Linked DNA regions of Saccharomyces cerevisiae S288C. Changing the gene in region 2 together with the main gene of any one other region gives a genetic interaction. Each region holds a gene or a part of one and is shown on either strand. Other genes may lie near its edges.

Region 1 (6,462 bases), on a different chromosome or scaffold from region 2:
TCATATACTGTCTTCATAAACTAATAATAACTTTCCTGAAAAGAATCCCCTATATCATATACCACTCGCTCAAATATCCAGATGACTACGATTATGAAAATTTTAGTGAAAATGCAGCATCCGATCCTTTAGCCATTACGATAGCAAATATTTTGGATTTTTCGTTTTTCAGGTTCAATTACCAGCACGATCTCGATTCGTTAACAAAACAGATATCGTTATTTTTGTCAATTTCTCTCTTTCTTTGCTGTCTTTCTGCTGTCAATACCACCATCTCCTACGTTGTGACCCTTTTGCCCATAAAGTTCCAGATTCTTGCACTTTTCGCCATGCAGAATGATGACACTGCTAATGTACTTCCAGAGTACACCAATAACTCTTCCTATAAGGGAAAAAAGAGAAACTATTCTCAGGAACAAAAAGGAATATCTTTGATAAAAAATCTGGTGGTGTCAGAGTTGACTGGCGTCTACGTTTTGGCTACAACGCTAATGGTTAGGTCCCATCTCCCTTTTGAAGTATCACAAAGATTAAAGGAGCTATTGGGTGGAAAGTTTACCGTCCCAAACATTGTCATAGATTCTTGGTTTGATGAAGTCTACGCTTTTGCATGTGTGTTTACCTTTATTTGCATAAGAATTGCAGAACGAAAGCTTTCCACCAAAAAAGTCAGTGTTGAATAACTGGAGTAGTATGTCGATGTTCGATGTTTATGAGATATGTATTTATAAAATTAAATGTCTGTCGGGTAGTTTATGTAGGGATGAGAAAAGTAGTATAGGTTCATGAAGAAGTACAACTTTTTTTCATTTATGCAAGGGCGTAAAAATTATGGATGGTTACTACTAATGATCAAAGTAACATTAATGCAATAATCAACCAAGAAGAAGCAGAGGGGCATGAACATGTTATGAATACAAAAATTCACGTAAAATTTGATCGTCACTTAAATTTTCCTTGACAATCATATAAACACCTATTAATAGGTTTGGAAAACGCTTGGTGAAGTAATCGTAAAATCCATCGGGTACCGGCCCCATTAGTTCTGCTATATCTTCAGGTAAATCCATAAAATGATGATATTTATTCCTAAGTGCTCTTAATAGATCCATTAACTTTGATGAATGGTATTTTCTGTACCTTTCAAGGTTGTCCATGAATGTTTTATCAAACTTGACAGTCCAATCTCCACTGGGTATTACAAAGTCAGAACCGGCGTCAAATTTCATTAACAGGGCACTTGGAGGGTCTCTGTTTTCAATTTCAAGCCTATCACTAACTTTTAAAAGGAACTCCAATTTTTTCGACTTTGGCCAAAACAACGGATGCCTTAGAACTTTCATAGCAGTAGGTCTTTTTAACGGATCGTGATCAATCATTTGGGAGATCAGATCTGTAGCTTCTGCAATTAAGGATCTATCATGTAGACATTTCATTTCATCAAGACTGAATATTCCTCTTATGATATTGCTTTCACGTGAATATTTATCTCCAAATGGATGCTTCCCTTTGGATAGGATATAATAGAATACACATCCCATAGAAAAAATATCAATAGATCTTGTTAGCCTCCTCTTGGTGAACGGATCATAAAAAGAATCAGATGAAACTACTGTATGCCTACTAGAAGAGTGTTCCGTTTCGACTTGGCACTGCAAATTGTTTGATTCTTCAAGCAGCTCTGGGGCCCTCCAACCACTTGTGCCAGAAGGGTTATTCAAATTTGTTCTAAATGAAGACTGACCAGAGTCTAGTTTTTTGCAAAGACCAAAGTCTGATATCAAAATTCGAAGATTTTCTGCTCCTGTTTGCTGATCGGCAGTAAACCTACTCGAAGTAGAAACGAGAATATTTTGAGGCTTTAAATCTCGATGGATAATCTTTAAAGAATGTAAATGTGCTACCCCGGACGCTATTTGTCTCAATAACGAAATTGGATTATACTCTTTCTGTAATTTCAGGTTTTCATCTGATACATTCTTAGACTCCACCAAATCTTGAAGGTTCAAATTGCAGAGCTCTAAAGCAATATACAAAAATCTGTCTGTTGTTTCTGAACAGTAGTATCGTATGACGTTAGGGTGATCATCGCTTTCAGTCAAAAGTTTTATTTCCATTAAAGCTATGTCACAAAAATCAATTAACATTCTCTTTACCGCAACAGGTCTTCCTTGAAAACTTCCCTGAAAAACTACTGTTCCTGATGAACCGTAACCTAAAATTTTTTCGGATACTACCAAATTTTTTAAAGATTGCTCAAAGTTTGGTATATTTGCAATGCGTGATTTTCGGCCCTTTTTGCCTCCTCTCGAACCTCTTTTCCTCTTCTTCTTTTCTGTGGTTAAATCTAGTGATTTTTCATCATCTTCATCAGCATCATCGTTATCTTTTTCAGATTTTAGACTTCCATCGTTCACAGCACCTTCAAAAACAACTTGCTTCCCTGATTTCATATCGAATGGCTTGGTTACATTTTCCGATGAAGAGGGACAATTTAGCGATTTCGACTCAACTATGGGGATTTCCTTTTCAGGCATAAATCCAATTTTGGATAATAATACATATAGTGGCGGCAAAATTTTGAATCTTTGTAGTATTGCACAAAAAATGAGAAATAACAACAGAAATACTCCAGTCTCTATAATTCGATATACTAGACTTCCAAACTTCAGTAGCAAAGAATTTTGGTTCTTTTCATCTAATTCTCTCGATATTTGCTCGTGTATCTTTTTTCTATATGCCTCAAGGTCTTCTGGTGACATGTATTCCTTTAGTGAATTCATCTCGTTATTCTGATGTAAATCGGTTGTATCAACGGACGAATCAATCATCAGAGGTGGATATTTGTGCGTAGTGTCCAAACTATTCGTTTTTTCATAGTTTTCATAAAGGTGATCATATTCATTATTATATATCTGATGAACACCCATGATTGCGTTCTTGAATAAAGTCTCATCTTCAAAAATTGAAGACACCCTCCAACGGTCACTGGAAGCGTATCTTGATATGGGAGCTGATTCGACTAAAGATGGAAAATTCTGACTAGATAATGCAAACCAGGAGAGGTTCGAAGTCTGATCCAAGTAAACTTTGTTACTCGATATACTTTCATGATCACCAGGATTAAAGGGATGCGGTACCAGTATATTTTCATTGGTGCGGAGATCATTAAACACATCGAAAAGCCCAACAATAATTCCGGGGAATGTCGGAGAAACCCATCTAGCAATTCTAAAATCTAAATCGCTTGCTAGCAATGATTTATCACGGAAAGGCGCTATGCACATGCCGTCCTTTGAAAATGTATTCTGAAGCGCTAGGGGAACATCTAAAACATTTTGCTGCCATGTAGAGTAAGTGACATTGTAGCTTGCTCCATCATAAGAGTGAATTCCCAGCTCAAAAATAGTTTTGCCTATTACAATCATATTTTCACATTCCTGAAGTTTTATCTTCTCCTCAGGTGAGCAATCCACACTCTGGCTCCCGAAATACCCGTTTTTTGAACCAGGTCCGAACGCTGATATAATTTCACCATTCAACATGTTTATAGTATACATTATAGTTCTCATCGATCCAGTGTAGACCTTTTCATCTTCAACAATTTTTCCAGAGTCATTAACCACAATATTTGTTTTCAAGTGCAGCGGGGAAGTTGATACAAGTTGTCGTATGGATAAAGGCAGTTTTTGTAACCCTTGATGGGCGTTAAAGTAGTAAATGTTCCCATCACCGAAAGGTTCTATAATCAACGTTTCATATGTTTCTAACCTCGAAGGTTCTTGTATTTCTATCAGAGGTTGAAAATTTTCTGGTTCGATTGACCATATGATATGACCATTTCTTCTATCTACAGCATGAAGTCCACCCTCAACGTCGGCTGCGATTAGTATATCTGATAAACTCAGTTCGTTCAAGGAACGATTCTCCAAATAGGGTACACTTATAGAATTGGCAGCCCTACGTCCTTTTTTGTTAGCACGTCGATTATCAGCAGTATTCAATAAGTTAGGAGTTGGATATGAGCTGAGTTTCATATTTGGTAAACCTTCAGTGGTTCTTGGAGCAGGAATGGGCGAGTTTATATTTTTATCCACACCATAGTTGAAATTGAGCTTTTTAGTGGAGGCAACTTCATCTTCCACTATCTGCCGCCTTGAGGTGCGAGACGACAATGGGATTGAGCATGAAATGATGGATGAAAACACACAAACGAGCAGTGTCAATACTAACATGTTTCTTCGAAGTAGACGCATTTTTCAAAGTGCTAAAATATTAATTCCTCAGATATGCTGTTTTTTTAATGTGTATGAAGGGTGATATGGAGAAAAGTGATAATGGACGTGGGGAAGAGGAAAACGATGCTTTGTGAATGAGAAAAAAAAGTTACTTAGCAGATTACCGATTATTAACAGTGCCAGTTATAGTGTAGATTTAATTGTGTAAAATTAATATTGTTATAGACTTTTCACTGTTAGTTTATGTGAAGTTGGCTCATTGATCTCCTATGATATGTTTTTCGTTTATTTCTTGTTACTATGTGATTAATCTCTTTTTTTAAATTTTATTGTTGGAATAGTCGAAGGTATTGCCCGAAGAGGCTTACGCTCCGTCTTGATTTTCGGCAATAAAATAGCGAAAACCTATTATATAACAGAGGGTAATAAAACCTCAAAACTACAACTATCAATATATTTCACACTACGCAGCTTAATTAGTAACTGTATAATAGCATTTAAGTTCATTACTTCTTTGTAATTTTATCTTTTTTTTTTTTTATATAGTTTTCAGCGCGCAGCAGAGTTTCATTGGAACGCTTCGCACGTTGGAAGAATAGAACTGTCCCTAAAAGCCCATTAGTCCTTCATTGAATAACCGATCTCTTCAAAAACATCCTTAATTTTGCATTGCTTTTCATCAGCAATTATTTGGGCCAACCTTAAACCGGCATCTCTCAATTCGTTGTACTCCTTTAACTCTTTAATGTACGTCGAGGAAATTTTTTTTGGTGTCTCATCACTTTGACAAGTTCTGTTAATAACAGAAACTAAATATTTTTTGTTTGTTATACCGATTTTTGCCGACTGGAAAAAATAGCTACATACTTTTTCTTTTCTTTAGACAATTGCTCAAACATCTTTATCAGGTTGCCATTCATACTTTCGTATTCCTGTATCTGTTTTTGCTTTTTATTTAACTGTGTTTCCAAATAGTTCATACTTGCAAGTTGTCTTCTGTTTATGGCAAGGATAAGACCATTGCTTTTAATTTAAAATTATTCTTATACTCTGTCTTTGCATTTATGAAGCAGAAATAGAATAGCCGCCATTAGGCAGAACAATTCCGTCTGATGTGATAATGCAAAGTGTGCCTGTCATCTAACTTAAAAGGAATCAGGCCAACCGCTACAGGATATGTACTAGATACAATTACTAAATAATACAAACAGAATATATAAAATGCTATTAAGATAGATCATTTGCGTCCCTCTCAATGTTGTCCAACATAGTTTTCATATGATTTAGTTGCATTTCTGTTATTTTGATACTTTCTGATAATTGCTGCAATTTGTGTTCGTCATCGTTTCTCAACATAGCACGACCTCGAGGTGATATTGCACTCCCTCTGTTACTGATCCAATCCCAAATATCGCTTTCCCTTCCTACAATAGGACTCTTATCCCTTGCGTAATTTACATTTTCTCTCTTCTTCTTAGATGATATGGCGTTTTCATATGAGTTATACAGTGTGCCGAAACTGGGCACGTAATTATATTCTTGACCATCAATCAGCAGCCTTCCTGGCTTGATGATTTGAAGATTATTTTTTTCTTGAAACACGTGAAGCCGAGGAGACCAGAAAAGCATAATGGTCAACCCCAAGATCAAGAATAGTTTTTGAGGACTCAGCAATTTGTTCATAAAAATTTCTGAACTAAAATTATTCTGAACGAAATCCAAAATATGAGTTAAAATGTCTTTATTATCATCGCTCTTACGGCTTTCGGAACTTTTCTGTTCAACCTTACTATGGAAAGGCCTATGTTTATCATGACTCTTCATTACTTTCTTCACCGGTTTTTTGCTTTTTGCCCTGCTAATAATGTCTCTTAACTCGGATAGCATGTAATCGACAGAAACCTTCTGACCCTCAACAGATCCTTTCTCAATTGCACCTTTCAAAAATGATTTACTTGTCCAGTTGATTTTTGTTATAACGGTCATATTCGTGGTGTCATGCTGCCCCCAGAATAGAAAGATTTTACTTTCTACTGCAAAATTGCTACCAGAGGGGACGTCTGGAGTTTTAGTTGTTTGTGTCACCAAAACATAGTTATTGATATCCATGTGTTCAATAGACTCGGTTAGTAAACATTTTGTTTGCTTAGGTCCGATAGAATTGTTCAATTTCTTCGTGTACTCATAGTGTCTTGAACCTCCTTCAACCAACGAAGGCGTGAAT
Region 2 (3,599 bases):
AAATACCACCTCTTCGCAACTGGTTGAAAGTTTGGGTATTCAAGATTTGACAATGGTGGAACTCGATACTCTTTTGAGTGCAGGAAATAATACAGCATTAACGGATTCAGAATCTTATAATTTAGGTTTGCTGTGTTCAGATAAAAACAGTGGAGATATTTTGGATTGCCAACTCGAATTGTGGTACAAAAGCTTTGGACCACATGATGAATAATGCAAAACTCAAGAATATTTATTTGGGTATCTAAGACTAGCTTTAAAAGGTTCCAAAACTGGGGTAAGGTGTAATCTTTGTGTATAACTTGGTTTATGAAAGGGGTACATGACATGGCTAAAATTCTTCAGACGAACATCTTTAATCTAAAGTTTACATCTAACAAGTCCAATCTGAAAAATGTACAGCGTATAATTTTACATACCTCCAAAAGAAGAATTAAATCAAAGTGTGCAGATAATACTATATACAGCAAAATAAATGCTAACTTTACATATGATTGCTTTCATTTTAAATCATTCTTTCCAATTATGCCTAATTTCTGTCCCATCTTAACCTTATCACCAACCCTAACATCGAACTTAAATTCAGTGGGAGCTTCAAAACAAAGTACAACAGTGCTACCCAATTCAAAGCCACCCATTTCTTCACCCTTAACCAAAGGCATCCCTCCCAATATTTTACTTGCATTCTCATATACTGCCTGGTAGCAGGTATGTGGTTCCAAGTGTTTGTCGCTCTTTGAATTTGTCACAAATTCTTGATCAAAATTCAACTTGATTGAACCAACATTTGTTGCACCAACAGGAGTCATGCTAAAAAATCCGTACTTCCAACTACCCAACAAAGCAACTCTTTCATTTAGAACGAAAAGATTAGGGAAGTTACGCTGGAAATAAGGTGCCACGGAGAATAAATCACCTGGGAAATGGCGGCGAACCTTACAAACCCAGTCAACTGGAGAGTGGAAATGATGGTAATCACCGGGAGCCAAATAAATGACGGCAAAGAAAAGTTCCGTATCATGAGGCTCAGAGCACGAAAACCCATTAGAGAAGTAGTTTAAAGAAAGTTGACTTAAAAGATGTATATTTTTGGACACACTTGGTTTGAACTCTCGAACAGATTGATCGCCCTCGTTTTTAAAGTTAAGAAGAGGCTGTTCAGTGTCTTCGGAACCCGCTAATTGTATTCTATTTACCCTGGCGAATTCTCTATGCTTTTCCTCATCAGAAGTCAAATCTAGACTAGATGCACTCTTAGACATCAAGGGGTGGGAGTGAGTGCCAAGGAATTCTTTGATGGAATATGTCATTCCCTTGACTTGTTCGATTTCGCCAGTTTCAGAGTTGATTATACCAACTTGTAAAATCTTTCCATCACTTGGAGAAGCTATAACGTCTTCGCCTTGTGCTACTGGACGTGTGCCTGGTTTTATGTTACGATAGAAAAATTCGGATAAATTTGCATAATGTGTCAAATCAGGATCTTCCATCTCGTCCAAGTTAACTCCAAAAAGGAAAGAATATAACCTGTAACCCCATGGTCTAACCCAAATGGGTAACGTAAGAGAATTTACTTGGCCCCATAATCGAGACATCGCATTCAGCGGTAAAGTAGAATAGCAGAAAAAGAGCCAATTATTGTTAAATATTTTGATTTTTCTTGTCCTTCTCCCTTTTTTGCCCTCTGTAGCATCCTCCTCTGTACTATCATTCCTTGACACTAGTAAAATGGTTCCTAGAACAATGGTGAAACTAGTTAAAACAACCCATTTCATGGAGACCTGTTTTCTTCCGCTATTTGCGGCAGCAGCTTTGGCACGATCCACAATCTCTCCAGAACTGCGTCGTTGCTGAACGAAAAGACGCGTGGAAAACTTTCTATTCCATAGCACCGCAGTTCTATTTCTTAATTGCATTCTTGTAGAAAACTTTACAGCAGGCATCCTCCCCATGAGGAGCGTCCTCCCTTGCGCCAAGGCGTTCTTAACTGGCATAATTGACATGCTGGCTTTGCTTTTCCTTCTTCTTCAAAAAATAACGACCAAGAAGGATTTGAGCGATCTGCTAACAACTGGCTGAAGAGTCCTTAAAGCGCTACGTACCTCTAGGCGTCTCTTTTGTGAGTAAGCTGTTTTATATTATAGGTGAAGAACAAATTTTCCACATGCTTGTGCCTGCTTTAGATGTCCCTTGACCTCGAGATTTGAAAAAACACCAAAAAGGTGCTGGTTACCCTGCATGTGATATGTGATTACATAGCGTAGCGTATACAGAAGCACAATTGGTCGTATATGTGCCAAGCTTGTAGGAAATTAGTAACGCATAACGTGTTATCTGCGACAAGCGTGAATGCGACAGACATTATGTTTCTCTAAATTCATATGGTCCCGGCCGATTTTCACATTCGAAGTTCATGTCGACAATATTGTCATTATTCTGCAATAGCTCACAGTGAACACGGTCACCAGGCTTTAACTCGCCTACACCTGCAGGTGTACCAGTCAAAATGATATCACCCGGTTCCAGAGATATCATGGTAGATATGTGTTGCAGTATTTTATGGAGTGGGTGCAACATGAGGTTAGTACCACCATCTTGTCTCAACTGTCCGTTAACAGAGCACTTGACTCTGAAAATATCCTGTAAGTTTGATTTGTAGGATGAGAACTTCTCGCGGGAGACTATAGCAGAGATTGGCATGAAGGTGTCAAAACCCTTGCTTATAGTCCAAGGTAGCCCCTTCTTTTTGGCTTCATCTTGGACATTTCTTGCTGTAAGATCCAATGCTAGAGCTACACCACTAATAGAGTCATAGACTTCTTCGGGTTTCATCTTAGTGACATTGGACAAATGTTTGCTCACAATCAATGCCAACTCAATTTCGTGATGAACCTTCACACCGCGTGGGATAAAAATGGGCCCGGGGTTAGTTCCGTCTTCATTTAAACCATTGAAAGTCGAGTTTGCAGGTCTAGTGGTCTTGACCAATGATGAAGACAATGGTGTCACAATACTCGAGGTTGGTTTTAGGAAAAAAAACGGTTGTTTTGGAGTTGAATTGTTCAGCTCTTTGATATGCGCTGCGTAATTACGCCCAATGCATATAATTTTTCTAGCTGCCTTCAAATAATTGTAGCTCATAACGTTTTGGCAATTTCCTGAGTCTTTACTCGATAGCTTTCAGAATATTTCTATATAGGAAGTTCTGGCTGAAACGTTTTTCCTTATCAGTTAGAGAACGGTGACCATCTCTTGAAAGCGAACAAAAAAACGTGAGGCTAAGGAAGCTATTTAGGAAAATAGACGAAAAAGGAATGGCAAAAGAAGGAATGGCCCTTTCAAAATAGGTATAAGCAGCACAGCTTGATACATGCTAGGGTTGCAGCAGTATAACTGTACTCTCTTTATGAGCGTAGTGAAAAGACGGTGAAATTATAACGGTATGCTCTATGAAGAATAAATGCTGTAGGAAAATTTACGATAATAAAGCCTTTATTGTTGTTGATCAACAAAAGGAGGCTTAAGCAATTGATAAACTTCTGAAAAGAAGAACCCTATTAAAGTTTATATCAAATATAGAAAAAAAAATCTTGAAGTTA
Region 3 (3,855 bases), on a different chromosome or scaffold from region 2:
TATTCATTGGAATTTTAAATAACAATAAAGCAACAACAATAATAAATGCTATCAGCTGCAGATAATTTAGTGCGCATCATAAATGCTGTTTTTCTTATTATATCCATAGGTCTAATCAGCGGCCTGATAGGTACACAGACAAAGCATAGTTCTCGAGTGAACTTTTGTATGTTTGCCGCCGTTTATGGTCTGGTTACGGATTCATTATATGGGTTTTTGGCTAATTTCTGGACATCATTAACATACCCAGCAATTTTGCTTGTTTTGGATTTTTTAAATTTCATATTTACGTTTGTAGCAGCCACCGCTTTGGCTGTAGGTATAAGATGCCATTCGTGTAAAAACAAAACATATCTGGAACAGAATAAGATCATACAAGGCTCAAGCTCCAGATGTCATCAATCTCAGGCTGCTGTTGCGTTTTTTTACTTTTCCTGTTTTCTATTCCTCATCAAAGTGACTGTGGCCACGATGGGTATGATGCAAAATGGTGGATTTGGCTCTAATACCGGATTCAGCAGAAGGAGGGCAAGAAGACAAATGGGCATACCTACAATTTCCCAGGTTTAAGCCTACTGGACTGAAAAAAAGGCAATTCGCGTACAATTTTCGTTGATCGTTCTTTATATAACCTTTGCATTAAATAAATTTAACAAAAAAAGTTCTTTCTAAAATAATATTATGGTGATACATGAATGTGCTTTAGTTTTTTCGTAGGCTCATCCATGTATATATATAAATGATAAAAAACTAAGTTACGATATTGATAGCATACGTATTCGTGTTGGTAACTAAATGGAAAGATGGAATATGTTATTGGCGTTGTTATCCCCCATATATACAGGTTTCTAATATGATTAAAAAAAAATTTTCTCCCCTAGTTTATTGTGTTCATAGCTTTTCCAGACTTAACGGCCAATGTTCAAAAGCAAGGAATTTGGTGATCCCGAAGACTCGCTGTTACCACCACCAGAATGTTGACTTGGTAAATAGACAACGTTAGATGAGTTTGCTAATGTTTGAGCGATGTCCTTAGAAGCTTCTAATCTTCTAATCAATAACAGACCATCACCAACTTTAGCTAAGGCTTTTGAAATGAATTCAGCACTTTCTGCTTCACCTTCAGCTCTGATAACAGAAGCTTGTCTCTCTTGCTCTGCCTTTTCGACAAGGAATTTGGCTCTTTCGGCATCTTGCTGTGCAATCTGCTTCTGCTCAACTGCTTTCGTGAATTCGGGACCAAACGTCATATGAGTGATAGAGACATCTTCCAACTTAATACCGAATTCGTTGGCCCTCGTAGAAAGCTCTTTTCTGATTTTTTGAGAAATAATTTCTCTCTGAGTAATTAACTCAGCAGCATCAAATTGAGCTACTATAGACTTTAAAACCTCATTGCCGATAGATGGTAACACTCTTTCGTCGTAATCGAGACCCAAATTTTGGTATATTGCGGGTAGCTGTAAGACCTCTGGTCTATGTAAGACTCTCAAGGTCAATGACACCATTTGCAAATCCTTCGTACCAGTATTGGTAGCAATGCTCTTTGGTTTCGTCCTCACATCGTATATGATCGCCTTCTGTAGCCAAGGCACCAAGAAATGAGTGCCTTCACCCACAACCTGTTGCTTTACACCATTGATTCTGTCGAAAATAACACCACGAGAACCACCCTTCACATCATACATGGAGTACTGAATCCCGCTAGCAATTATACCAATGGGCAACGCCACCTTGGTGATGACATCGATAAGTTTGGCAGAATTAGACATTCTTTTCTAAAGTAAATTATTGATTTTGAATGTAAGTTTCGTACCGTTGATGGTTGGTTTACCGATTTATTTTTTTTCCTCTTCTTTCTGCTTAATATTATATACCTCAACCGTTGCATCCATGAGATCGTCAAACTCCCTTTCCCTGAAATTTATTGATGCGATACATTCGCGTTACCCGTATCATCATGAAGACGAGTTTATTCTCATCAGTGTTGATCTCTCATACTTGAATAACTCATTTGCAATGGTCTAAGACTCCAACTATGTAGTCATAGTCATTCACTGAAGTTTCTCTTTTCGAAATCCTGAACGGAAGCGGAATATATGTGGTATATATCGCATATTACTGCTTCACAGCATGCAGCGCAGACTGGCCGGGTTATGCTGCCACTTACTGGAGACAACATAAAATATACATAATCATCGCCTTTATACATAATATGCCAAACTTCTGGATTCTTGAGAATCGTAGGAGCTATACGTCTGATACATGTATGTCGAGGATCGTGAAGGAGTACAAAGTCATACTGAAAACATTGGCCAGTGATGACCCCATAGCGAACCCCTACCGGGGGATAATCGAGTCACTTAACCCGATTGACGAAACCGACTTGAGCAAGTGGGAAGCTATAATTTCTGGGCCGTCAGACACACCTTATGAAAATCATCAGTTTCGAATACTAATAGAAGTCCCTAGTTCCTACCCCATGAATCCACCAAAGATAAGTTTTATGCAGAACAATATTTTGCACTGCAATGTTAAATCAGCCACAGGAGAAATATGTCTGAACATCCTTAAACCAGAGGAGTGGACTCCTGTATGGGATTTGTTACACTGTGTTCATGCTGTTTGGAGACTCCTAAGGGAACCCGTTTGTGATTCTCCACTTGACGTAGACATTGGTAATATCATCCGCTGTGGCGATATGAGTGCCTATCAGGGGATTGTAAAGTACTTCCTAGCAGAAAGAGAGCGGATCAACAACCATTGATACCACGTAGGATGGATGTGTTCGAATGGCAAACAATGGGCCCTCACTTTTATCTGATGCAATTTCTACCTTACCCGGGCAGCGCCAATTTATGAATACAAATACTTTAACAAATTGCACTATTGATGTATTGACACATTTGTATATACATATACATATATTAATAAGGAGCACGAATTTTTGACAAGTAGTGCACGCAATATCTACATTAGTTAGCTTTTCCATTGACGCTGAATTTTATTTTGGCAGCCCAGTAGATCGTTGAGGAGCTTTTTTCAAACACTTTTTCTCTCTTAACTCCACATACTTACGTAAGAAAGTGATGACGAAAAAGAAAGCAGCTACTAATTATGCTGAAAGGCAAAATTTAGCCAGTGAAGATTCTTCAGGTGATTCGGTTCATTTTAAGGACTTTATTCCCTTACAAGAGTTACTGAAAGATAAAAATTATGTTCCATCGGTGGAAAATTTGGAGAAGATCTTATATAATGAAACCATGTTTAATGATCAGAAAATATGCTCTAACCTATTGCTTGAGGCTCTCATAATTACGTTGTTCACAACAATTTCAGGGAAGTCAGCTTTACGATTAATTCAGACTTCTTCTTTGAAGGAAAGAAAATCCTGGGCCCAGTCCTTTGAAAATAACAGTTCTAGCTATGCTTCCATAGTACTGAGTTGGAAAGATAATGATATATTACTCCTGAAATTCTTAAGGTTTTTATTAGCAAATAAAACGGCCCCTCTTCAAATTAATCGGTACAATCTTCCAGAATACAAACTCCCGTTGAGCTTTTTAATTGTTTCAAAAATTACTATTCCGTCCATATTACTCAATGAAACGTATAATTTGTTAAAGGACTATTTGTATTCGATAACTGGCCGTATAGAGAGTTTGATAAGCTGCAGCTCCACATTTGATAAGCCAGCACTTGTCGTTAGAAAAATTTTAAAAGATTACAATAGAATGATAGAATGCCGAAATTTTTATTTCTGGTATTCCTTTAATGCTGAGAACAGAGTAAATCTTACTTTTAGTGATAACATTAGCCTGTTAATGGAAAATGATGAAGGCAATGCTGGAAGTG

Evidence for each region. A genetic interaction does not mean that the proteins touch.
Region 1: mutations in PSD1 (region 2) and IRE1 together harm fitness more than expected from each alone (negative genetic interaction), as found in Saccharomyces cerevisiae (6 studies listed by BioGRID).
Region 3: mutations in PSD1 (region 2) and PHB1 are lethal when combined (synthetic lethality), as found in Saccharomyces cerevisiae (7 studies listed by BioGRID, with this or other methods).

What each region holds. Positions count from the first base shown.
Region 1 is NC_001140.6:257,336-263,797, forward strand, and holds IRE1 (bifunctional endoribonuclease/protein kinase IRE1), read right to left. Parts: upstream 4,257-6,462; coding exon 909-4,256; downstream 1-908. Other genes in the region: YHR078W (uncharacterized protein), read left to right, coding at 1-683; SAE3 (Sae3p), read right to left, coding at 4,857-5,019, 5,106-5,218; LAM4 (Lam4p), read right to left, coding at 5,466-6,462. UniProt on the Saccharomyces cerevisiae protein: Senses unfolded proteins in the lumen of the endoplasmic reticulum via its N-terminal domain which leads to enzyme auto-activation.
Region 2 is NC_001146.8:315,669-319,267, forward strand, and holds PSD1 (phosphatidylserine decarboxylase 1), read right to left. Parts: upstream 2,004-3,599; coding exon 501-2,003; downstream 1-500. Other genes in the region: APC1 (anaphase promoting complex subunit 1), read left to right, coding at 1-214; FMP41 (Fmp41p), read right to left, coding at 2,362-3,141. UniProt on the Saccharomyces cerevisiae protein: Catalyzes the formation of phosphatidylethanolamine (PtdEtn) from phosphatidylserine (PtdSer). Plays a central role in phospholipid metabolism and in the interorganelle trafficking of phosphatidylserine.
Region 3 is NC_001139.9:754,681-758,535, forward strand, and holds PHB1 (prohibitin subunit PHB1), read right to left. Parts: upstream 1,773-3,855; coding exon 909-1,772; downstream 1-908. Other genes in the region: FHN1 (Fhn1p), read left to right, coding at 46-570; PEX4 (E2 ubiquitin-protein ligase peroxin 4), read left to right, coding at 2,216-2,767; CCR4-NOT core subunit CAF130, read left to right, coding at 3,090-3,855. UniProt on the Saccharomyces cerevisiae protein: Prohibitin probably acts as a holdase/unfoldase for the stabilization of newly synthesized mitochondrial proteins. Involved in mitophagy; may act as an adapter for ATG8 that supports mitophagosome assembly.